2 linked regions of the Bombyx mori genome follow. The protein of the gene in region 1 purifies or fractionates together with the protein of each later gene. This does not show direct contact. Links are inferred from orthologs where the notes say so. Each region holds a gene or a part of one and is shown on either strand. Other genes may lie near its edges.

Region 1 (12,235 bases):
ATATAATATGTCAATATGAATGATTGAACAATATTCAATGCAGAGCAAGTGTTCCCCTAAATATATCTAAATTTCGCCAAAATTTACCAATACTGTGCCTACATATTAATGCAAACCTGTTACAAAAAGCAATTTCGCTAGTAATAAATGAGTCGACTATTATCAAAGCCGGCAATGTGACTTTTGGACAATTATTGGTAAATCAGAAAAACGAATTATTGACTTTGTATTCCATTGGCAGTCACAAAACTCTTCTGAACGACATCTTAGATAAATAACAGGTTAAGTATTAACCTTTATTTAATGCAGGTTTTGAACCGTATTCTTTGAAGGAGACGATTGTATTCAAATCAATCTGTATTGACATATCAATAACATTTTTTTATCCAAATGCACAGATTGCCACCTTTGATAATAGAAGACTCAAATACTCTTATACCCCACAATCTCGTTACTGAAATTTCTTCTAGTTGGTATAAAAGCATATCAGGTTGCGATAGCATATGCTAGATAAGTGTTGTCATTTATTTATTAAGAGTTCCAAAAGAAGGAATTTATAATTGTCAATCGTTAGTGTTTTCCTGTAAAATTAAATAATGTTACCATACATTTTATCTTTTATTTCATTGCAAATATAGCTATTAAGTAAAAATACACTATTTATAATCATACAAATCAAAGGTAAACCAAACATCGAAAAAAGACAAAGGTATTGAATTACACAGCCCCGATGTATCTATAGGTTGCATTCACAAAAAGAAGAAAAGTACTAACAATTCAACTTTATTTATCTACATTGCAATATGTAACAATTCACTTGATTACTAAATACATTAATCACCACATAAATCTATCAGTTTAATCCTTGTAGTCATCACCAATACGGTTATACAATTCATCACCGGTTCTCTTATTCATACGTAAGTATTTGTTGACCATCGGTTTATAGTAATAGGCTTGGTAGTCCTGGCGCTCAGCCATTTTTTTGATAATTTCTTTTTCTAATGCACGCAGTTTTATTCTCTGTTGTTCTTCATCAAGGAAATGCATAAATTTCTCATAATCCTAAAAAAGTAAAGTTAGGTAAATTGAAATCAATGTCCACATGTCCACAATTGCATTTGTATCATTTTAAAATAACTGACTTTGTCATAAACATTTTTTTTTATTGCTTAGATGTGTGAACGAGCTCACAGCCCACCTGGTGTTAAGTGGTTACTGGAGTCCATAGACATCTACAACGTAAATGCGCCACACACCTTGAGATATAGTTTTAAGGTTTTCAGTATAGTCACAACGGCTGCCCCACCCTTCAAACCGAAACGCATTACTGCTTCACTGCAGAAATAGGCGGGGCGGTGGTACCTACCCGTGCGGACTCACAAGAGGTCCTACCACCAGTAATTACGCAAATTATAATTTTGCGGGTTTGATTTTTATTACACTATGTTATTCCTTCACCGTGGAAGTCAATCGTGAACATTTGTTAAGTACGTATTTCATTAGAAAAATTGGTACCCGTCTGCGGGATTAGAACACCGGTGCATTGCTCGATACGAATGCACCGGACGTCTTATCCTTTAGGCCACGACCATACCATACCATAAGATACCAACGTAAATAGCAAATTGGGCTTCAATCTCTGACTCTATCTATTTCTATTCAGCATTTCCAGAAACTGCTATCTCTTGTTTTGTGAAACTAAGAAACATACTAAAGATGGAAAATCTTTGAGAAAAAGAATCCACACATAATGATGAATAGCAAGAAATAATTCAATAGTTAGTTTAATAATAGTACTCTAGTATTCCTAATTAAATTTATAAGCAATAACCATTTAGTTTAATTTCTACAAGAACCTTTTTAACACAAATATCTTTGAAAAATAGTAAAAATAATATTTTTATTAGTTAATACTACTGATTTTAGGTTTGTTTAAAATATTAGTAACATATTCAGATATCTCTATTTATCTACTTACAAACATTCCTGTTTTAATGAGAATCTTATTTTAAAAACTCAAATCAAAAGTTTGACAAACCTGTTGTGGATTGTTGTGAATATAGCGAGCAATAAATCTGGTGATTGGATGGCGGTGGTACTCCCAGTATTTGGGCGTATATCCTTCAGGGATAGGTGTCAATTGCGCCGGCCCAATGAATACGTTACAGTAGAATATAAGGGCACCGGCCGGTATAAGTCCAACCATCATGTAAAAGTGCAGCATATCCTTAAATTTGTGCCATTGCCATCTGTGATCAGGAAATTAAAATTAGGTTACATGTTAACAATATAATTCAATAAAATGCATTATTCTGACAGAAAAATGGCTTTTTAATGATAAACTATTTTTTTTTTGTTATGTTTTGTATAAAAAATATAAATTATTATTCTATTAAAATCAAAAGCGATTAGATAATCACTAGAAACATCACAGTACCTGGATGGCTGCAGTGCCATTGTTCTTTCTCCATGACTGCCTTTTAAGGTTTTCGCGGTGGTGAAAGTCACATTCTGTATTTTATTAGGCGACTTTAAAGAATTTTTTACCAAATTTATGCCGAAAGATCGACCGAGAGCACTCCAAGACACCATTTTTATTTTGGCCTTTTTGACAGTTGTCGAAAAATGTTGCCAGAATAATTTTTCCAATTTAACAGTAGCAATGGGTCTATGCCATAGCTATAGAGTCTATCGAAAACAAAAATTCAAAGATCATGTTCAACCTGTTAAGTTTGCCGCTAATTCCTGGGTAGTCTGACTCGGATCGGCTTCCACCATCACTTTCAATTCATTGTTATTCACATGTGTGGGCGGCTTTCCACGTGGTTCGTTCTTCAAATTAAAATTTCTATCACGAAAGCGTTTAAACCAAAATCACACGGTGCTTTCATTAGCAGTCCCCTCTCCAAACGCAACATTGATATTGCTAGCTGTTTCTGCAGCTTTAGTTCCGCGTCGAAACTCGTATTCAAAAATCACTCGAATTTTCGAAGTATTAACCATCTTTCTTGTCTAAACTGAATAAAAAAAAACAACTGAAAATCGGTAATCGAATGTTGCACATTTTTTAAAAGAAGAACCTCATAGGTACCGTTCGAAAAAAGTTTCACTTAAAAATCTCAAACCATGAAGGTTCTATGTCAATTCGAAGTAGCTATTAAAATAAAACGGCAATTTCGTACTTTAACCCCTACTATTAAGCTGCTAAAATTCACAATGCACCGTGAAATGATGTTTGTTATTTTTGGGAAAGGAATCACAAAATATAATATGATACTGATTGTCGCAGTGTACATATATTAATATAATATGTTAATAACATATATTATGTAATATAAAATATATAAATTTAGAAAGTAGGTATCACTGTATAAATATAAATACTCTATAGGTCTATGGGAGGTATGGAATAAAATATAATGGTATAGGAACGCTCACACAACTGTATTGCACAACATCATTGCTAACATCAAACATTTAGAATTACACACTTTAACGAATTGTTTAAGTTCGATAAATGCTAGAAATAAAAAAAAATTAAAACTAAAAAAATTCCACCTAATGTAATTTTTGTTCTTTAAATAGGAGATAGGTACATTTTTTTAATAAATTCCCATGGTAGTTTTACACTAAAACTTAAGGTGTTATAAACTTAAAGTACCTTATGTGAAAAGGTTTTTTACAATCAGCAACTAGGTTAATAACAAAACCGCGTGTACTCCACACAGCAACTGTACTGAACAGATACCTATTTAATAAGTGTTTGGAAAAACAGAGCTTTTTTTTTCTAGATATAAACATATTAAATACTAATTAAAATATTTTAATTTAATTTTGTTGTTGTATATATTACACATATTTTGTAAACTTTCAAATTCTTGTTTTCGCAATAGGCAAACTGCATTTCCAATAGTTAGTAAAATAATGATTATTTGAAATCGCCTAATTGAATAAAGGCCTACCGGAATTTTCATTTTAAATGCAACCTTTTTTTTGGCTTTTGCCATATGTATTTTTCGTTGATAAACCACAAATATTATAACTATTTTCAATGACATTGGAATTATTGTGACTGGTGGCTGTTATGAGTATTGTAATATGAATGTTTCGCTTCATTCCGTGGTACGTTGTTATTGCCGAATCAGTTGGTAACACTGGACAGCAGTTAAGGCGCAAATCCCTTTGCTTACTTTTTTTGAGAGAGTCGACCTTCGCTAGAAGTAATAGTGTTCTGTGGAGTCGACCTCTATGCAGCCAGCTCGACGAATCTGTGGGATTTTTGGCGGCAACGGGAAGAGCGAAGTTGTATGAATTGTTTCGGTAATTTCATTTCATTTCATTTTTTTTATTTTTTTATTGCTTAGATAGGTGGAATAGCTCTTGGCCCACCTGATGTTAAGTGGTTACCGGAGCCCTTAGACATCTACAACGTACCTAAATGCCGCCACCCACCTTGAAACATGAGCTAAATGGTCTCACTTTTAACAGTACAACGGCTACCTCGCCTTTCAAACCGAAACGCATAACTGCTTCACGGCAGAAATAGGGAGGGCGGTGGTACCTACCCGTGCCGACTCACAAGACGTCCTACCACCAGTAACTACGCAAATTATAATTTTGCGGGTTTCATTTTTATTAAGCGATGTTATTCATTCACTATGGAAATCAATCGTGAACATTTGTTAGGTAAGTATGTATTTCTAAGAAAAATTGGTGCTGGCGGGATTCCTACACCGATGCATCGCTACATATGCACCGGACATCTTATCCTTTAAGCCTCGACGACTTCAATTTCAAGTGATTAATATTTTAGATTAATCAATTTCATTTCATATTATTTTTCTCCTTCGTCTTTCCGATTGAAAAAGCGGAACTACTATATAGTTATTTAGTTACTTTATAATATTATTTATGACTTTTTAGCGGGAACGCGAGGAGCAAAGCTCTGAGATTATTTTAGCAGAAAGATGAGAAAGATATTCCTGCAAAGAGTAAAATAAAATGAAGGAAAAGAGAAACCTCATATGGCGTTTTTCATACAAACCTATTTCTTTCTTCTTCTTTTGCTAGTTGCCCCCAAAAGACATAGGTACCATATTACATAATTTTTACTATATACATACAGCAAAAATGCTGCTATTACGAACGATTACGATATTACGATTATGAACGCTAAAATATTAATATTCATATATGTATAGTATTGAAACGTTGTGAAAATAAATGTTAAAACGTTCAATAGATTTTTTGTATTTCTATAAAATTTACTAAATAGCACCATATATTTACACATCCAAATTGTGAATGACAATGGTACTGCACACCAGTTTTCATTTCGTCTCCTCCATCATAATCGAATCGCTAGCACAGGAAAGCTATTAAATCTATGAACAAAAATGATTTGAATTTCGCACCAGACTCATTGAGGATTGATTGACTCAAAATATTTATTTCCCACTGAAGCGGAGTAGAGCCAAAACTACAACGGAAGACTCAAGGGGTCGAAAGTTTCAATTAATAATATATTCCAGAACTTCCGGGATTCTTTGAGCTCGTCCACTGCTCTGAGCAATATTAAATATTCAATACCTGAAATACGTTTACGAAATAAATTATTTTTATCTTCGTGAAAAATGATGAGGATAATGGCGTCAATTAATACTTTTAAATGTCGTTGATGCTGTATTGTTATTTTTAATTGTCATAAAAAATCTGACCTGTTGCGCTTACAAAAAAAAAACGCCAGTTCCAATATTACATATTGATTTTTATACTGAGCATGCTCCGACCGACCTCCCATACACACCAGTGTTTGATAAGCTTGCAAACGACACCCACACGATTCACTAGTTTACTCGAAATCATTACTGTGAATATACAGTGTGTTTTGCTCATCAAATCGATATTCCTAGTTAACTCCTTGAAATGTGGTAAACTTAAAGTTCGTTTCGGGCTTATTAGAAATCATGGAGGAACTGTTGCAAGATATATTCAAAGAATCCACTGGTCCTAAGCTCTCGTCCTTGAAAAAATCAGCCCAAGATGCATTAGGTACGTAATTTGATGGACTTCTAAGTAGTTAAACGTCTAAAACAGAATATACTGCTGTGGAAGTCAAAATTAATTTGCGAATAAACATTTCTGATGAAACAGACAGTCAAAACTGTTTATGATCTTCTCTTGTTTTCCTACAAAATTATAATAGGGTCTTGTAATTTCTTCTGTGAGCAACTAAACAATAAACCTAGATTGGATCAATAAGATTCCTTATTTGGTTCATTCGTTTACCATTTCACTTCCGTTGAGTTTGTAATACAGAAATTTACCGGATTATATAGTTGCTCTTGCTACTGTGTAGTCTAAAAATTACCAGTCGATTTGTAGCTCTTTTGGTACGTATAATCACGAACAAACTAACGCAGTGTTGTATTTATTACAGCAGATTTACCCAGCATTACTCACTTCATCTTATTTACGACCATAAAAATTATTTAATTGCTAATCCAGGCTAATATATTTTTACGTCTCATCCGAACCTATCATCCAATCATACCAACTTTCACATTTCTCATATACAGTATCGTGTAAATGTCTAAAGTTTAAATTAAATCATGCACATACTACTACTGTATTTTAGTATCCAGTCTATAGACTGAAATCTTTTTTACGCTGGTAAAATTAAAAATAATCTTAAATTTAAAAATGACCGTAAAATTTTAATTACTTTGGTATATTCTTATCTTATTTAATAAGATAAAACTGGAAGTTAAAGAATACGGAAAGGTTTTCGGTCATATCTTAACCACGTAATGATACATAATACTCTCAAAATAAATTATTTTCGATATGATAAGTGATTAAAGTCGCTTACAGTAGCTAGCGTTAAACATCATGTCGCTGGCTGTTCTCATAAAGATTGAGAATAATCGATCAGTGGCTTTTTACAGTTGCAAAATATTTAGTTTGAAGGAGTAAATCAACATGTCTTCTTTTTTTTATTTAGAAGCGTGCACCTCTCAGATCTGAATTCACTACTTAAATGTTTACAAATTCATCTTAAAAAATTAATTGTAGTGCAAACTGTACCAACAAACGTCACATAACTGAATTCACGAAACTCGTTTATCTTTTTCATTTAATTGAGTGTAATTGTAACGTCTAATTAAAAATAACAGAAATGCCCTTAGTAGTAGTCTTTCTTTTATTTCGTTAAAGTCTCGTCACATGCGTTTATTTTGACTCCAAAATCCTTATGACTCGCAACAAAATTTCAAGACAAAAAAAACACTTCGATTGTCCGTCTTATTTCAAGGAATTTGTATAATTAGAAAATATAAATGTTTTTACTTAATACGTTCGTTGTATGATATGTAACCATTTTTTGACGTGACAACGTCTTATAATTCGACGAAGCCGGCTGCACGCACGAAAAAATGACTCATGCGACGTTACCTCGCCCTGAGGCGTTCCATTTAAGGTTTGAAGTGCAAGCGAGAGCGCGCAACGAGCGTCAAAGAGGCACAATCGGCCTCCGCGCAAGGGCGGATCCGGCTTTGGCGCCAGGAGGGGGTCACATAGTCAAATTTAGATGCGTTCGTTCCCAGACGTTTGCCATTATACAAAGTTATTACATTAAATTAATTAAATATTGAAGGTATGTAGTTATATAAAATCTGTATTTTTACAAAATATATAAATAAAATCATTATATTCAATTAGTGGTCCACCTAAGTCCTGGAACCGGCTCAGGGGGTGGTCATGACCCCCATGACCCCCATGACACCCCCCCCCCCTGGATCCGCCATTGCCTCCGCGTTCGGCAGCGTTCGACATCTGTCTCTCTCCTACTTGAGTGAGCGACGCATCCGCGTGGACAGCTGCTTTACAATAATACAATTCAAAGCACATTCATTCTTGTAAAAAAACTATGTACATAGTAAAAAAAATTGACATAATTGTATTTATGCGTACAAATAAATGTAACTTGATCAATTCAATAGTGATTACCATTTACCTCCTTCTCTATATCCATACAAAATATCTATCAAACAAATAAAATTAAAATTTTCTTTTGAAAAATGAAACCATTCCATCAGTATTTTCTTATGACGTTGTCACGTTCAACTATCCTCAGTAAACCGACTTTACAGACAACCGATTTTAATTCTTATAGAACTGCTATGCCTCCAAGAGAGTAACGCGCGCCGTCCTTCGTACGAGCTGCGACGCGCCTGTCTCCTCCCATTGCAGATCGCTTTGGAAACAAAGAGGCCAAGGCTAGTTACATTCGCAGTACAGGGATTTTATGTACGTTGCAATAAGTTAATAATAATCTATAATATAATAATATTTTTGCCCATAACGTTACGTGATATCTATTTATTATAATGGCTTATATTACCATGATGACCTACTTTTAATACGAAAAGGGATTAAAAGATGGTGGTAGTTTGGTAGTACTTCAAATCCTTGTTAAAATCGTTCCGTATGATAGAAGACATATATTTTAATATTTCCTGGGGCAGGTACCAATTTTTCGTGTCCCCGATTGAATTTAACAATGAAGTAATAGAGCCGATTAATAAATTGGCAAACTCCCTTTAATTAATTAAAATTGGGATTTCAACAGCCCTTTACAGTGGATACAAGCTTTATGTGTTTATCTTACATAATAATATTTTTAGCGCCAATTGTCTCATTATTTTCTCCCATCGATGTAGGTAATAAAGAATGACAATGTAGAGAGCCTTTTGCAAATTACCTAAGACTAAATAAACAAACACAAACCACAGTAATTGATAGATACGATGTATATATTAGTAAACAGTGTATTATTATTTAACGATATTATAATAAAAATATGTGCGACGTTGTATGTTATATTTGTGGATTTTTTTTCAATAAAGCAAGAATAAGACTAGTCGAGCTTAAGAAATTATACCGCCATTTTAATATTATGCATAAAGTTAAATAAATCAACAAGAGTTAATGAGCTAACCAATAGCATGCTTCTTTCAGAAAATCTTAAGAGATGACCGTTTCCACCGTGGAATCGAACCAGAAGACGATTCGCTGTGGATGCCCTCACAGTTATTATGTGCCACTGCTTCAGTCATGTTTCAACAACCAGAAACACAGGTAATAAAACTCTTTGTGCTTTTATACATTGAATATACATTGTACACTAATTAATGGTCTACGTGGCGTGTAATATCCGCAAGTAAGGAATTATACGTCTTTGGCATAATCGAATAAGTCACAGACTCAATCTTTATATATATACTAGCTGACCCGGCAGACTTCGTAGTGCCTCAATCGATAAGCAAAAGACCTAAACTTTTTATAAAATGAACTTAAAATAAACAAAAGGAAACCGTCCGCCGGGGGACACAACAAAATTGTTATTTTTATTTAATGCTCAGCATATTCATATTTATCTAGATTTAGATTTAGATTTATAGAGATTTATATAGATCTAGAATCTAGAAAGAATTATCATCTTTCCACTTCTATCAATTGAATATTTGTCAGGTACAAATATTCCGCATGTATCTATCACTGGCGTTGTCTCCTCGCCGAACATTGAACGGTCGTCTCTGTGTGTGGGCCTGCGGTCGGTGTGGAGAGGCAGCGGGTGCGGCTCCTCATGTGGCCGCTGCCGCGAGGGCTGCAGCCGCCCAAGCATTGAGAGCTTATTGTGCACAATTAGGTATGCCTCTTTTTTTTCCTGCCTGAGCTAAGATGAGAGGCTATTTCAGCCGTAACCTTAACTAGTAGCTCACGGGGCTCAAACCTGACGACGTTGCTAACACGAACCCTAGCAAGAGCCGTGCTTCGCAGAATCTACCCCACCGGATCGGAAACGCGACCCACTGAGAAAATCCGGCGAGAAACTCAGTGTGTGTCTGTTGGTTAATTTACTCGACGAGCCCTTCGTCGCAAGCGACGGGTTCGACGAGAACGATGACCGGTGCTTAAGGTTTTATTCTGTAAAATCAATTATCCGTTACAGTAAGAGGACCGGACGTCTCGTGAGCACTACAGGGGATATTTCAGTGGGGCACTTTTTATACTATACAATTAAGATAGAAACCTTATGTCTCAAGATAACGTTGTGATGTCTATGGACTCCGGTAACCACTTAACAACAGCTGGGACGTGAGCTTTATCCACTGTCAATGCATCAAAAAAATATTACTTACCCACAATAAAGACATAAGGTCGGAGAACCATGATTTCAACTTTTAAATTGAGTATTTCAAATCCATTGGTTCTGAAAAGTAATATTTGAAAGTTATATTACATCATCGATATCTTTGCGACCGATTGGTGGTCAAGATTCCTTAAAATCATTTATTTATACTATAAAGATCCGGATTCACTGATCTCTAAACCCTTAAGACTAACCTTAATTCCAATTAACTTTTTAACTGAGTTGTATTTACTTTATTGAGTTTTGACTGAAAGCCTTAATTAGTGTGCGCTACACAAAATGTTCTAGCGCCTACTAATAATACAAAAATTCGCTGCAGACGAGGAGTGTACCGAGCTGCTGTCGGAAGGTTCTCCACTTGGCAGGAACCACATAGTGGCAGTAGGCTGTTACAGTGAAGTAATACCAGTCATACAATACTTGTGCAGCAGATTGGCCGAGACACAGTCGTGAGTTGCTTAGAAATAAACAAAAACTGACCTCATATTTAGTAGTTTTTCTTTAATAATAATTAATAATTTTAGTTATATTTTTTGTAAAACTTCAGTCATTCCAAAGGATGGAGGAAATTTTCAATTTTTTATCATCAATTAACGCCTTTATGGTTAATGTCGCGCATTAGTGTGAGTTAAAGGTTAAAGGTATCTTATGCTACATCCTTATTAGACTAGAACGATCTACGAACCTCTAGCAGTTTAAAAGTAAAAAAACGATGAATCTGAGAAACGCTAAAACATTAAAAGGACTTTTTTTGGTAAGAGGGCGTCATGTGAGTCCGCACGGGTAGGTATTTCGCACCCTGGCTATTTCTGCCTTGAAGCGGTAATGCGTTTCGGTTTGAAGGGTGGGGCAGCCGTTGTACTGTGAAAGCTGAGACTTAGAACTCACGTCTTAAGGTGGCATTGACATAATTGATGTACATGAGCTCCGGTGACCACTCAACTCCAGTTAGGCCGTGAGCTCGTCCACCCATCTTAGCAATAAAATAATCTTAATAATGCTACCGTATTTCCGATACAGGAATCCAAAGCAAAACCCGCTGGCCCTATTCTTTTTGGATTGCCTCTTAACGTTGATGTCCAGCCTATCGGAACGTGTTAGCGGTAACTTGCACTTCACAACATTCCTGTGGCAGAAGTTTTGTCCGTCGCTTATATCTTTCCTCGGAACGCCCCGGGTCGACAAGAATATCAAATCCAGGTAATCTTTGAGAACCACTGGACGTTTTAAATCTCATCATATTTCACTGTTAGGGCGTAATAAGCAAGGAAAAGAAACATTCAAAAATTTTTTAGAAAATGAAAGAAAATATTCTTATATTATTTTATTTACTTATGCGAACAATTCAGAGTAATAATAACAACATTATGCAGCGAGATGTATTTAATGGATGGATTTTTGCAAAGCAGTGAAGATCATATTCAAATAATTTTATTGACTTAATTCCCAGAGATCACGAAGGACATTTAGTTGACGATTCTGGAAGAGGATCCGGAGCTTTGAACTCCGCACCAAGCTTCAACAGTAAACAGGCTAAAGCTATTTACAGGTATGTGATTGCTAAAATTCCAAAATATACATTCACAAAACGAATAGCCCCAAAATAAATTCCAAATTTTGATACAGCATATAAATGCGGGAGATTCAAACGCTTGTTAGTTTAATAATAAACGTAAACTCTGATCTAGTATTAATACTAAATACTTAAGAATTTTTACTGGTGGTAGGACCTCTTGTGAGTCCGCGCGGGTAGGTACCACCACCTTGCCTATTTCTGCCGTGAAGCAGTAATGCGTTTCTGTTTGAAAGGCAGGGCAGCCGTTGTAACTATACTGAGACCTTAGAACTTATATCTCAAGATGGGTGGCGCATTTACTTTGTAGATGTCTATGGGCTCCAGTAACCGCGGAACGCAGGGCTATGAGCTGGTCCACTCATCTGAGCAATAAAAAAAAAAGAATAGAATAAGAATACTTAAGACGAAAGTCTAAGTAGAGCTCAAACAAACATTGACGAAGG
Region 2 (12,188 bases), on another chromosome or scaffold:
CTCGGCCGCCTCGGCCCCCAGCGCGCGCGGCTGCAGCAGGCGGCGGTAGGCGGGCGGCGGCGCGGGCGGCGCGGCGGCGGGCGGGCGCGCGCACCACGCCAGCGCGCACACGGCCGCCTGCAGCGCGCGCTCGTGCCGCGCCGCGTGTCGCGGGAACGTGCTGCGCGCGTACTCTATGGCCGCACCCACGCCCACCTCGCGCGCCAGCTGTCATACACACACATACCTCATTCTATAAACTATTTTGAAGTCGTCGTGGCCTAACGGATAAGACATCCGGTGCATTCGTGTTGAGCGATGCACCGGTGTTCGAATCTCAGGTGGGTACCAATTTTTCTAATGAAATACGTACTCAACAAATGTTCACGATTGATTTCCACGGTAAAGGAATAACGTCGTGTAATAAAAATCAAGCCCGCACAATTATAACTTGCGTAATCACTGGTGGTAGGACCTCTTGTGAGTCCGCGTGTGTAGGTACCACCTATCCTGCCTATTTCTGCCGTGAAGCAGTAGTGCATTTCGGTTTGAAGGGTAGGGCAGCTGTTGTAAGTATACTGAGATCTTAGAACATATCTCAAGGTGGGTGGCGCATTTACGTTGTGGATGTCTATGGGCTCCAGTAACCACTTAACACCAGGTGGGCTGTGAGCTCGTACAACAATCTAAAAAAAAATATGGTTCATGGAATTTTGCCAGTCACAGACATTATTAAAATTAATTTTGTATTTGTTGGTGACCACGAAAAGCACAATATTTGAAAATTCAGGTGCCATAAAAGTTTTTTAATGATAAATTTATTAGTTTGATTATGGTCACCTTCAAAGCGTACATCCTGTGCAAAGTGAACGGCAGCGGTGAATGCTGTAGTTCCTGCATGTGCTGCTCAGCCCACTGCAGGGCAGGAGTGGGGTCGCCCTCGGCCAATGCAGTCGCACAACGCTGTACCGACGCAAACGTACAGGTTCGCTCAACGCCACTGATTTCGGCTTCGGCTACAAACGTATCACCGACGTCCTCTAGGCCCTGTGTATAAAAAAGACACAAACTCTTTTCCCATCAAGAATATCTATGAATTTCCATATAAATGTTTGATACTGTTTAATATATAATGTATTTCGACACAGCAAGTCAAAGAGTGTGTACAAATGATCGAGTTCAACGGCGATGATGCCCCACATGGCACGCTTACCACCGAACGAGAGCCCCACTGCGCCGGTTAGAATTAAATAGAAGAACCACGTCATCGATTAGAAGTATATCCTGTTTTTACTCTACAGACTAATTCTAGTTCATCGGTATCCCGGAACACCAGAAGACACCTGGGCAGTCTCACAGGCGCTAACAGTGGCGGCCGACTTCGATTCATTTTCACCAAACGTTGACCTCATTAATCTAAGATTCTTGGGGCATCCGCGTGATGTTAACCAGTCACCAGTCCTACCTTGGTCGTTTCACATACTCTGCGCACTTATAAATATGCCATAGTTTGGCAAAAGAACAACTGATTTCACTCAACTATAGTTTAATATCTTAGCTACCTGTCTGTACAAATGTTGTGCAATGGCTTGTTCCATAATAGGTCGATTTTCATCAGAACAGAACATTTCCGCCTTTGGAGCAACTGCTGCATAATCGGCCACGAAATGCCTATCTATAGACTTGCCCACTCTTGACACTGTAGCATGGAGTTCTCTGTGATCTAAAAACGTAAATTAGCTTATTCATTATATACTTCTATATATAATATAATATGCATTACATTGTAATAATTATACCAAACTCTACTCTTCTATATTCATTGCACTTCACTTAACTACTGATTGTAGGACTTAATATGAGCTATAATATGATGCACAGATTGATACCACAGTCCTGCACATTTCCACCACAAATGTAGGTGTCTCAAGGAGTGTAGTAATATTCATATTCTGGCATATACTCGGTAGCCATCATAGCATGAATACCAATGCTGACCCCCGCATCCCATCATTAGACCGGAGGTTGAACTTTCAATAGTATACTTTATATGAGTTTTTTTTTACCTGTTGACAATTGAAATGCATTCTGTTTGATGGTAGAGGCTAATTCGCTCACGACCTGGGCTTGTTCAGGTGTTAATGGTGTATTTGGTGGTTCTGAAAAGAAATAATATACTTTATTATCTCTATGAGGGGGATGAGCCCTCATTTTACATTAAGAAAATTAGGTTTCACCAACCAATGAAACTATGAAACTCATTAAACATTTTTAGTACCAAGGGAGAGGTTTGCAGACTAAGCACATTGTCAAACCATTGTCTTATACTTCCTGTCGTACTGATAAACTAATCCTCGAATATATCCCATGAGGATATTTCACAAAACTTTTGAATCCAATTGGAACTCCAACTTTTAGATTGTAAGAGGACTAATAATATGAACTGAATAAACAATACAATTACTGAATGAACAAGAAGAAATTTTCCATTTTTTTATAAGTATTTATCAAATAATGTAACTGTTTGTTGTAACTTATTTTAATAAAAATGCATATCAATAAATGCATTAATGGGACATTAAACCATGTTAAAGATATGAGCATTATCATTAATTAATGTTAGCTATAAAGAGGGGTTGATATATTATTTATATGAGAATTTCAATAACCCATTTTTAAGTCGGCCTCCTGTAGAGTTTCATATATTTGAATAGCTGTTTGAAGATCTTAGCAACTAACAATTTAACACAATGATTTGTCGCATAATATTGCAAACCTACCAAACATCATACTCTTGATATGACAAATGAGGTTGACACTTTTAAGAAAATGTTATATTAACCCTCAGTGCTCTTCATGTTTTCGTACCACTGCCTCCCAGCAACTCGGGCACATTTTTGTAGCAAAATGAATTTCACTTGCTAGTAGTAAATGTTTTTGATTTTATTTAATTTATAACATACACTTCCTTCTTGTAAATAAAAGATAAGTTTTAAATTTTGTAATTTACCTTAGTATGATATCTTTGGAAATAATCTCTCATGTGCATGCTGGATTTACTTGGGCTAATTATACTAAATAATAAAAAGGGTGCGTGGACTTATGTACACGCGTAAGAAGTTATACTTTATTTTTATTAAATTTATTTCTTTTTTTTAATTTAAATTTTAATCAATTTGAAAAAAAATCGATTAAGCAACATCCTCAAACAGGCATATTGGACATCCCTTTTCTTGACATCGTATAAATTCAGTAATTCTCGGTATGGTTCGGAAAGTTCACCTGCGGCTATATTCAGACTCGCCAAGTTACGTCGGTCGTATTGTAATGAACGATTTAGTGGGCAACTTCATTCTGTTAATTTTGTATCACTGTACGAGCTCAATGTAAAATTTCACTCTCATCAATTTTTCATAGCGCGCCTAAAGAATTATAACTTCAATAAAAAGTGCTATTATATTAAAATAGCTTTAAAAAGGGCAATTCCTTCTGACCAGCAAAGACTACTTTACACACTAACCAGCAAAAATCACCATACCATCTTTTTTTTAATTGGAAGAACAATTTGTAATTTTCTTTATATGTGTCTTTTCATTATTTCCTTTCTTTGATGAACATGTTTATGTGGCTAGTTTGTTTTTCATTTTTGCATTGTCTGTGTTGGGAATGACTAAACCAAAATGTAGTAAACATGTAATGTGTAATAACTTACGTTGGGCTATTTCCCGCCGCAGCTCCTCTACTTTGTTAATAATATCTTGCAATACTTCATCGGTATGTTCATTTAAATTTGTAAATTTTGTAATTGCTTTGTCTAAATCCTGCTCAACCCCAATACAGGAATCCATTGTTTTTCAAGATTCCAGTCCCTACAGTGTTTTTCAAAAAACGACGCCTTATTGTATTAGAACAAAGAACTACGTATGACTTTACCAAATATTTTGAAAAGGTATGTATACTCTAAAAATTTGCATTAATATACAAATTTAATGATAGCAGACTAAAAACATTTTCTCTCAACTCTCAAGTGACAAAGTGAACGTTTGTCATTTCCGTTTTTTTTTTAATTTAATGATCTGGTAACAAGTCCAAGACCTATTTTTCTAATATTATTTTATGAAAAATGACATGAAGCGAAATGAGATGAATTTGATTAATTTTAGCCTGTGATCAAGTGGGATGAAATTAAATGAAACGAAATTTTGAAGTGGATTTTATAGAAAAACCAGAGAGATTATATCTAGTGCAGCAGCTTTGTCTCATTTTCCGCAAATGTGTAAAACAGTTAATGAATAGACCGTTGTTATTAATTTTGAAGTCGTCGTGGCCTAAAGGATAATACGTCCGGTGCATTCGTATCTAGCGATGCACCGGTGTTAGAATCCTGCAGGCGGATACCAATTTTTCTAATGAAATACGTACTTAACAAATGTTCACGATTGACTTCCACGGTGAAGGAATAACATCGTGTAATAAAAATCAAACCTGCAAAATTATAATTTGCGTAATTACTAGTGGTAGGACCTCTTGTGAGTCCGCACGGGTAGGTACCACTGCCCCGCCTATTTCTGCCGTGAAGCAGTAATGCGTTTCGGTTTGAAGGGTGGGGCAGCCGTTGTAACTATACCTTAGAACTTACATCTCAAGGTGTGTGGCGCATTTACGTTGTAGATGTCTATGGGCTCCAGTAACCACTTAACATCGGGTGGGCTGTGAGCTCGTCCACGCATCTAAGCAATAAAAATTAAAAAAATTAGTCAACGTTTTCCATATCAATCATAACGTAAAAGCAAATTATACAAAAATCAACATGTTATATTATGTGCTTGACTTCTTTAAAATAAAATCAACAGAGGTGTTCTTATCCCAACATTAAACAATTTTTAATTAATGGAATTAATGGAAAGAAAAATTGTTTATGGTCATATCTCGAAATAAGCGTGTCTATGGTCATTGCACAATTTGGAATTAGTTGCCGGATAGGTTAGAACGTAAAAGTATTTCATAAATAAATTACTATTAAAATACCCTATTATACGTTAAACATATTCTTGTCATGGCACAAAGTAAGATAAATGACATGGCAGGAAAATTCGCTAAAGGTGGGCCACCTGGTCTTGGCATCGGTCTCAAAGTGGTAGCCGTTGTCGGCGCTGCGGCTTATGGCGTCTCCCAATCGGTGTTTACCGTGGAAGGAGGTCATCGTGCCATTATGTTCAACAGAATAGGAGGAGTACAACAGCACGTATTCACTGAAGGTATGCACTTCCGTATACCGTGGTTTCAATACCCCATCATTTATGATATCAGATCCCGACCTCGCAAGATATCTTCCCCGACTGGTTCAAAAGATTTACAGATGGTAAACATTTCCCTCCGAGTACTTTCTCGACCAGATGCCAATATGCTAGCAACAATGTACAGACAACTTGGAACAGATTATGATGAAAAGGTTTTGCCATCTATATGCAATGAAGTCCTAAAATCGGTTGTTGCCAAATTCAATGCCTCCCAGCTGATCACACAGCGTCAGCAGGTGTCTCTACTAATCAGAAGAGAGTTGGTTGAGCGTGCTGCTGATTTTAATATTATCCTTGATGATGTATCCCTCACTGAACTAAGCTTTGGTAAGGAATACACAGCTGCAGTAGAAGCTAAACAAGTTGCACAACAGGAGGCTCAGCGTGCAGCTTTTGTAGTTGAAAGGGCAAAGCAAGAGCGTCAACAGAAAATTGTGCAAGCAGAGGGAGAAGCTGAAGCTGCTGAGATGTTGGGTAAAGCCATGGGCATGAACCCTGGTTATTTAAAACTTAGGAAAATTCGTGCTGCTCAAAGTATTTCGAGAATGATTGCTCAATCTCAGAACCGTGTCTTCCTCCCTGGAAACAGTCTGATGATCAATCTTCAAGATCCTACTTTTGATGATTTGTCTGAGAAACTCACTAAAAAGAAGTAACATGAGGCTGAGAGTGTGTGCGCTGAGAATCTGAAGCCAGCCGCCACTCTAAAAGACGAAATTACAGTCATAATCAGTGGTGCTGCTTCAGTTGCTGTTTAGTATTTGGGTTGTTCAGCAAATCACAATTCAAACAATTTAATCTTTGCATTTTAAGTTATTTAGTTTTGTAGGATTAATAGTATGTATGGGAAACAAAAAATGTCAATAAAGATTTCAAAACTCAAGTGATTATTCTTTATTGATAACTATAACTTGAATAAAAATATTTTCAATTGTTTGACTTTGTTTACATAAGATTTTATAATTAAAACATATCATTGTACAAAATACAATATTGTCTGGCTTATTGTTTTCAGTCAAACAGTCAAATTAATTGATAACTTGATTCTCAAACTGAGTAATTGAAATTACAGTTGAGTAATTCAGTAATTTGTTTATTACTGTTAAGTTTAGATCCAAACAGGAACTACGCTATAATTTGAACTTAAAAGGATTCATAAAATATATAGATTTACAATGCCAATTAGAATCTTTAATCAATTTACTGGTGGTAGGACCTCTTGTGAGTCCGCACGGGTAGGTACCACCGCCCCGCCTATTTCCGCTGCCGTGAAGCAGTAATGCGTTTCAAACCGAAACGCATTACTGCTTCACGGCAGCCATTGCGACTATACTGAGAGCTTAGAACTATATCTCAAGGTGTGTGGCGCATTTACGTTGTAGATGTCTATGGGCTCCAGTAACCACTTAACATCAGGTGGGCTGTGAGCTCGTCCACACATCTAAGCAATAAAAAAACTCCTGATTTGATATTTACAGATTGGCTGATTAGATTATGTACCAAGACATCTTGAGGAGGCCATGTTCCTTGATTTAACACAGTAATTTAGGCTTTAGTATTACAATAATTTAGTAAAACACAGTAGCTCAGTAATTTATTATATACTTTATTTTGTTAAAAAAAAAAAGACAAATAACTTAGTACAACTGTATTTATTAAATTACTACATTACATCTAATATCAAGCAAATTAAAATTTACTTTTTGAGGGCCGAAGGTTGTGGCAATCGGTACTTCGCCATCTCAATTTCAGCTTCGAAGAAGCTCACATTATCATAACAGAAATATTCTGGAACTTTGTACGCTCCGGTTTTTTTTGGATCCACACCGGGGCCCACAGGTTGTGAAGCTGGATGAATGACGGCGCTACTCAATCCATTGACTTCAGGAATCGTCGAATTTGTTGGAGGCGAAGAAAAACTAGGACTTTCGTTTTGTGTGGAGCCTTCACTGTAAAACCGAGTTGCAATGCGGAGCGTATTGCTCTTCAGCACCCCAAATCTATTCATTTTATTACACAATCGAATCATAGCTTTTACTTCTCCAATTTTGAATCATAGATTAATCACCATGGACTTCGAAGTAAATTTCAATAAAGTACTGTCCCAAATGTCAACTGTCAAAACTCTCTGACTATAGAGGACTTTGATTTAGACTGAAATGTTTGTGGGTCCAGTCCAGAGGATGGACTGCTCTAATCGGCATTAGGCTTTAAAATCACTTTAATATGCACTTCAACTCACGAAAAATATGTTCACCATTCGATTCCACTAATTTGGTGATTGAAAGGCATAGCTAAATGGAAATTAAAAGCCACAAAAAAAAATATTAAAAAGATAACGAAATAATAACTAAAGTATTAAAGTACATAATAGGTTGGGGAAAGTTTCTTCGCATTTTTTGAGAAAATTCACAACATTTTTTCATATAGTTTATTTACATTTAACTAAAGTATGTAGTTACCATTTAAAGAATTCTGAAGAGACCGAAACAGGTGAAAATCTGAAGGTGCAAGGTCAGAACTATACGGCGAATGCATTAACACCTCCCAGCCAAGTTCTCTCAATTTTTGCTGAGTGGCTAAAGATGTGTGAGGTCTAGCGTTATCATGATGAAAATCCACACCCATTCTGTTGATTAATTCCGGCCGCTTTCTCTCAACTTCTTGCTTTAATCTCATCAGTTGTTTGCAGTAGAGTTCAGGATCGATGGTCCTACCTGGTGGTAAAAACTCATAATGAATAATGCCTTACGTTGCACATTCAACAGTCTCAAGGTAGATTTTTTATCTTATGGATACCGAAAATAAATAAGAAAGACCTCAACAAACGAGGATGTGACATGAGAATATCAGAATTCAAATGTTCTTTAAAAAAGAGGTCAAAAAATCTATCGACATGAAATCAAGAGATAAATAAATGCAGCACTACAATTTACCTATGATCAGTTTAAGTATCTATTATAAAACGGCTGCTCCGCTGCATTATAAAATAACTGTCTACATTGAGTCTTATCATTTATTGGACTGTTTATAATCATTCTATGTGTAATAAGAGAAAACCTTTACTGAATATAAGGTTTTAATAAGCTAAAATTAATAGTAAAATTTGCTTTGATTACATTAGGTACATTGACAAATAACGAATAAAACAGATTGACAATGACGTCAACTTATGGCTGATAATTTCAACTAAGAAGTTTACATCATTCTCCCACACTATTTTAGAACATAATCTTTTAAAAATCCTGGCGTTTTATGGACGCGACCAGATCTACGAAGTGTTGGCTCCGGCGGTGGTGATGATGGTAATTCTGTCTCTATCTCTCTGCTATTATCAAGTACCACAGGTCCCGTTTCATTAGATGAAGGAATCTCCAAGTTTTGGTCTTCTGTTTCCGGAAGTGGTTCTGCGACGTTATGATAATCAATAGTGTTTTCATTATCTATTCGCAGATCTACCCTTTCTGAACCCAATGGTGCTAGATGACGATTCGACACTGTTGTTTCTCGGCCATCTGGAAGCCGAATGTATGAAAAGTCAGGATTGCTGTGTATCAATTCAACCTCTTCTACTAATGGCTGATATTTATTTGTACGATTAAATTTCTTCATCAAGACTTGTCCAGAATTTGTAAGCCACGATGGAACAGAAGTGCCGTTTGTAGATCTTCGAGGGTGTCTAAACATTCTTTCGTGTGGAGTGCAATTTATGGTTGTACAAAGTAATGATCGAATTGAATGTAAGGCTTGTGGTAATACTTGTTCCCAATTTTCTACCGAAAGATTCTTCGTCTTCAGCGCCAAAAGAATCGTTCTCCAAAGAGTAGAATTCAATTTTTCTACTTGACCATTACCTTGAGGGTTATAAGCTGTAGTTCTACTAGTGGCAATACCTCGAACATGTAAAAATTCCTGTACTTCAGCAGAAAGAAATACTGTTCCGCGATCTGAATGAACGTAAGAAGGCATGCCAAATATCATAAACAAGTTGTTAAGATGTTTAATCACTGTTTTCGAGCTTACATCTGAGCATGGGAATGCAAACGGGAAACGTGAAAATTCGTCAATCACGGTAAGTATGAATTTGTTATTATTATTTGTTGGAACTGGTCCTTTAAAATCTATGCTAAGGCGTTCAAAAGCAGCCGTCGCTTTAACAAGTTTCCTCTGGTCATCAAAGGTATTTCGGAAGAATCTAGGTTTTATTTCAGAGCAGGTTCGGCAAGATTTTGTCATTGTTCTGACTTCTTCAATAGAATAGGGAAGGTTTTTAGAGCGAACCCAGTGAAACATTCTTGTTACCCCTGGATGACAAAGAGCCTCATGCAGCGAGAAAAGTTTTGCAGTACGTGTTTCTACAGTGGCACAAACTCGGGATAGTGCATCAGCAGCATAGTTCTCTTTCCCCGGTCTGTATATAATATCGTATTTGAAAGCAGCAAGTTCCAGTCGCCATCTTTGAATCTTTTCATTCTTTATCTTACTTGAATGTTTCATATTAAACATAAAAGAAACCGAGCGTTGGTCAGTTACCAACTTAAAGTGTCTACCAATAAGGAAATGTCTCCATTTCTTCAATGATTCCACAATGGCGTACGCTTCTTTTTCAATGGCGGAATGGTTTTGTTCGCTTGAATTTAACGTTCTTGAGAAAAACGCCACTGGTCTAGAATTTTGCGTAAGTACTGCTGCAATGGAATGATCGGAAGCGTCAGTTTCCACTGTAAAAGGTATATTTTCATCAATTGCATGTATAGAAGACTTTGCGATATCATTTTTCAAGCCTTCGAAACATTTAATTTGCTCGCTTGTGAGTGGAAAAATCGTCGTATTAGCAAGTGAGTGGATCCGTTCAGAAAATTTTGGAATCCACTTAGAATAATGTGCGAACATGCCGAGTGTCCTTCTTAAGGTCGGTAAATCGCTTGGTGGAGGTAAATTAATCAGTGGCTTGAGTCGCTCATTGTCAGGTTTAATTATATGGTTTTGAATATTATAGCCTAGAATATTAATTGACTTTTGAGAAAATTTGCATTTTTGTATACTCAGTGTTAAACCGTATTTCTTTGCGGCATTCATAAAACTTTCTAAGTTATGATCGTGTTCTTCAAGAGTACGGCCAGAAATAGTTATATCATCAAGATACGCATATGTGTTTTGAAGCTTCTCTTTTCTTATAATCCAATCGATTGTTCGTTGGAAGCTCGAAACACCATTTGTTACTCCAAAAGGAATACGTCTGAACTGGTACAAATTTCCCAGTGCTTCAAAAGCGGTAAACTTCCTTTCTTCGGGTAGTATAGGTACTTGATGGTACGCGTTTTTCAAGTCTATTAGGCTGAAAAATATATTCTTTGCCACTTTCGAAACTAAGTCCTCAATGTTTGGTAAAGGGTACGCGTCGAGTTCTGTGTAACGATTAATTGTCTGAGAGTAATCAATTACAAGGCGTTTTTTATGAGTTTCGCTTTTTGTTATTAGTACTTGGGCTCTCCACGGTGATTTACTTTCTTCAATCACGCCCTCTGCTATAAGATTTCTGATTTCTTCTTTAATAAATTCACTATCCTCTTTGTTGTGCCTTCGAGACTTTATAGCAATAGGTTTGCAGTTGGGAGATACATTCGCAAAAAGCGGTACAGCTGGTACTGATGCTTCAGCTACGTTACATACTTGAAGTGGATGTTTTGGCCCACCGAAAGAGAACTCTAGCGATGAATGTTCTTCGAGGACGTCATGGCCGATAATTATATCAGCACAAAGATTTTTCACGATAAGAAGATTCACATTATCATATCTATGATTTCCGATTTTCAAGGTTTGCCAAGTTTGACCTTCTACTTGTGAAGTATAATTAAGAGAGGCCATAGAAATAGTCTGATTGCAGGATTTTTTTTTTAACCCGCATAGTCTTGCAAAGTTGTCATTTATAAAACTGATGGAGCTGCCGGTGTCGAGAAGTGCTTCTGCTCTTATTCCTCGAATATAAGCGGGTACAGTAGCTTTACGTAATGAAGAAGGTGACGCTGCTGTGATACAAGCGGAAAGATCTTCAGTACCTACTACCACAGAATTTGTAGATTTAGAAGAGCTTCTACAAACAGTGGCAAAGTGCCCCTTCTTGTTGCAGAGCTGACAAGTCTTTTCAAATGCAGGGCAGTTCTTACGAGGATGTATTTGACCCCCACAAAAGAAACATTTTTGACGTCGAGGATTATTAACAGAAGAGCAGGTCTCGTTGTGCAGAGTTTGTGATTTCGAAGAGACTAATGTTGGTTCTTTTGGAGCAACAGCATTTAAAGAGACAGTATTGAAGTTTTGAGAGTTGATCTCTGCAGTTTCTAGAGAGAGTGCTTGGTTGTAAGCTTGATCAAGTGTTAGAGTTAAGTTTTCTAAAAGCCTTTGTCTGATTTTATGCGATGATATACCGGATATGAAAGCATCACGTACGCTATCGTTTTTGTTTGTTTCTGCATCAACAGCCACAAAATCACAATCTTGAAAGTAGTTTCAAAGCTTGTAAATATGTGTCAATACTTTCTTCTGGTCGTTGTTTCCTTGTTGCTAACATGTGTCTAGCAAAAATCAGATTTTTTGGTTTTACATACAGTTTTTGTAGTATTGTGATCGCTTCTTCGTAGTTCGTAGCTTCGCTTATATATGTGTAAATATTTGGTGATATATGGTTTACCAAAAGTTGAAACTTTATGCTGTCCCATTTTTCTGGCGGACGAACCGACTGTGCATCTGTTTCTGAAGCGGTCGGCTTCTGCACGAAAATGAAGTTTTCGAAAGTTTTACGCCAATGTATCCAAGCTCTCGTACTAGAGCTATCTGACGGGTCGATATCAAACCTTTCAGGGCGGAGATATCTATCCATTTTTTATTTCTTAGCTTATTAAATTGTAA

Evidence for each region.
Region 2: the proteins of brefeldin A-inhibited guanine nucleotide-exchange protein 3 (region 1) and mitochondrial prohibitin complex protein 2 purify together in Homo sapiens (affinity purification with western blotting; 4 studies listed by BioGRID). This does not show direct contact. The link is inferred for Bombyx mori from reciprocal best matches to the Homo sapiens genes ARFGEF3 and PHB2.

The regions. Positions count from the first base shown.
Region 1 is NC_085109.1:10,556,157-10,568,391, forward strand, and holds the start of brefeldin A-inhibited guanine nucleotide-exchange protein 3, read left to right. Parts: upstream 1-5,913; 5' UTR 5,914-5,969; coding exon 5,970-6,054; intron 6,055-8,176; coding exon 8,177-8,310; intron 8,311-9,021; coding exon 9,022-9,141; intron 9,142-9,534; coding exon 9,535-9,712; intron 9,713-10,535; coding exon 10,536-10,665; intron 10,666-11,236; coding exon 11,237-11,416; intron 11,417-11,666; coding exon 11,667-11,765; intron 11,766-12,235. UniProt on the Homo sapiens protein: Participates in the regulation of systemic glucose homeostasis, where it negatively regulates insulin granule biogenesis in pancreatic islet beta cells. Also regulates glucagon granule production in pancreatic alpha cells.
Region 2 is NC_085124.1:11,785,061-11,797,248, reverse strand, and holds the start of mitochondrial prohibitin complex protein 2, read left to right. Parts: upstream 1-4,934; 5' UTR 4,935-5,035; coding exon 5,036-5,935; 3' UTR 5,936-6,162; intron 6,163-6,868; exon of another isoform or gene 6,869-6,975; coding exon of another isoform or gene 6,976-7,308; exon of another isoform or gene 7,309-7,388; intron 7,389-12,188. Other genes in the region: E3 ubiquitin-protein transferase RMND5B, read right to left, coding at 1-207, 820-1,026, 1,542-1,702, 2,046-2,138, 3,692-3,827; uncharacterized protein LOC101746149, read right to left, coding at 6,976-7,308.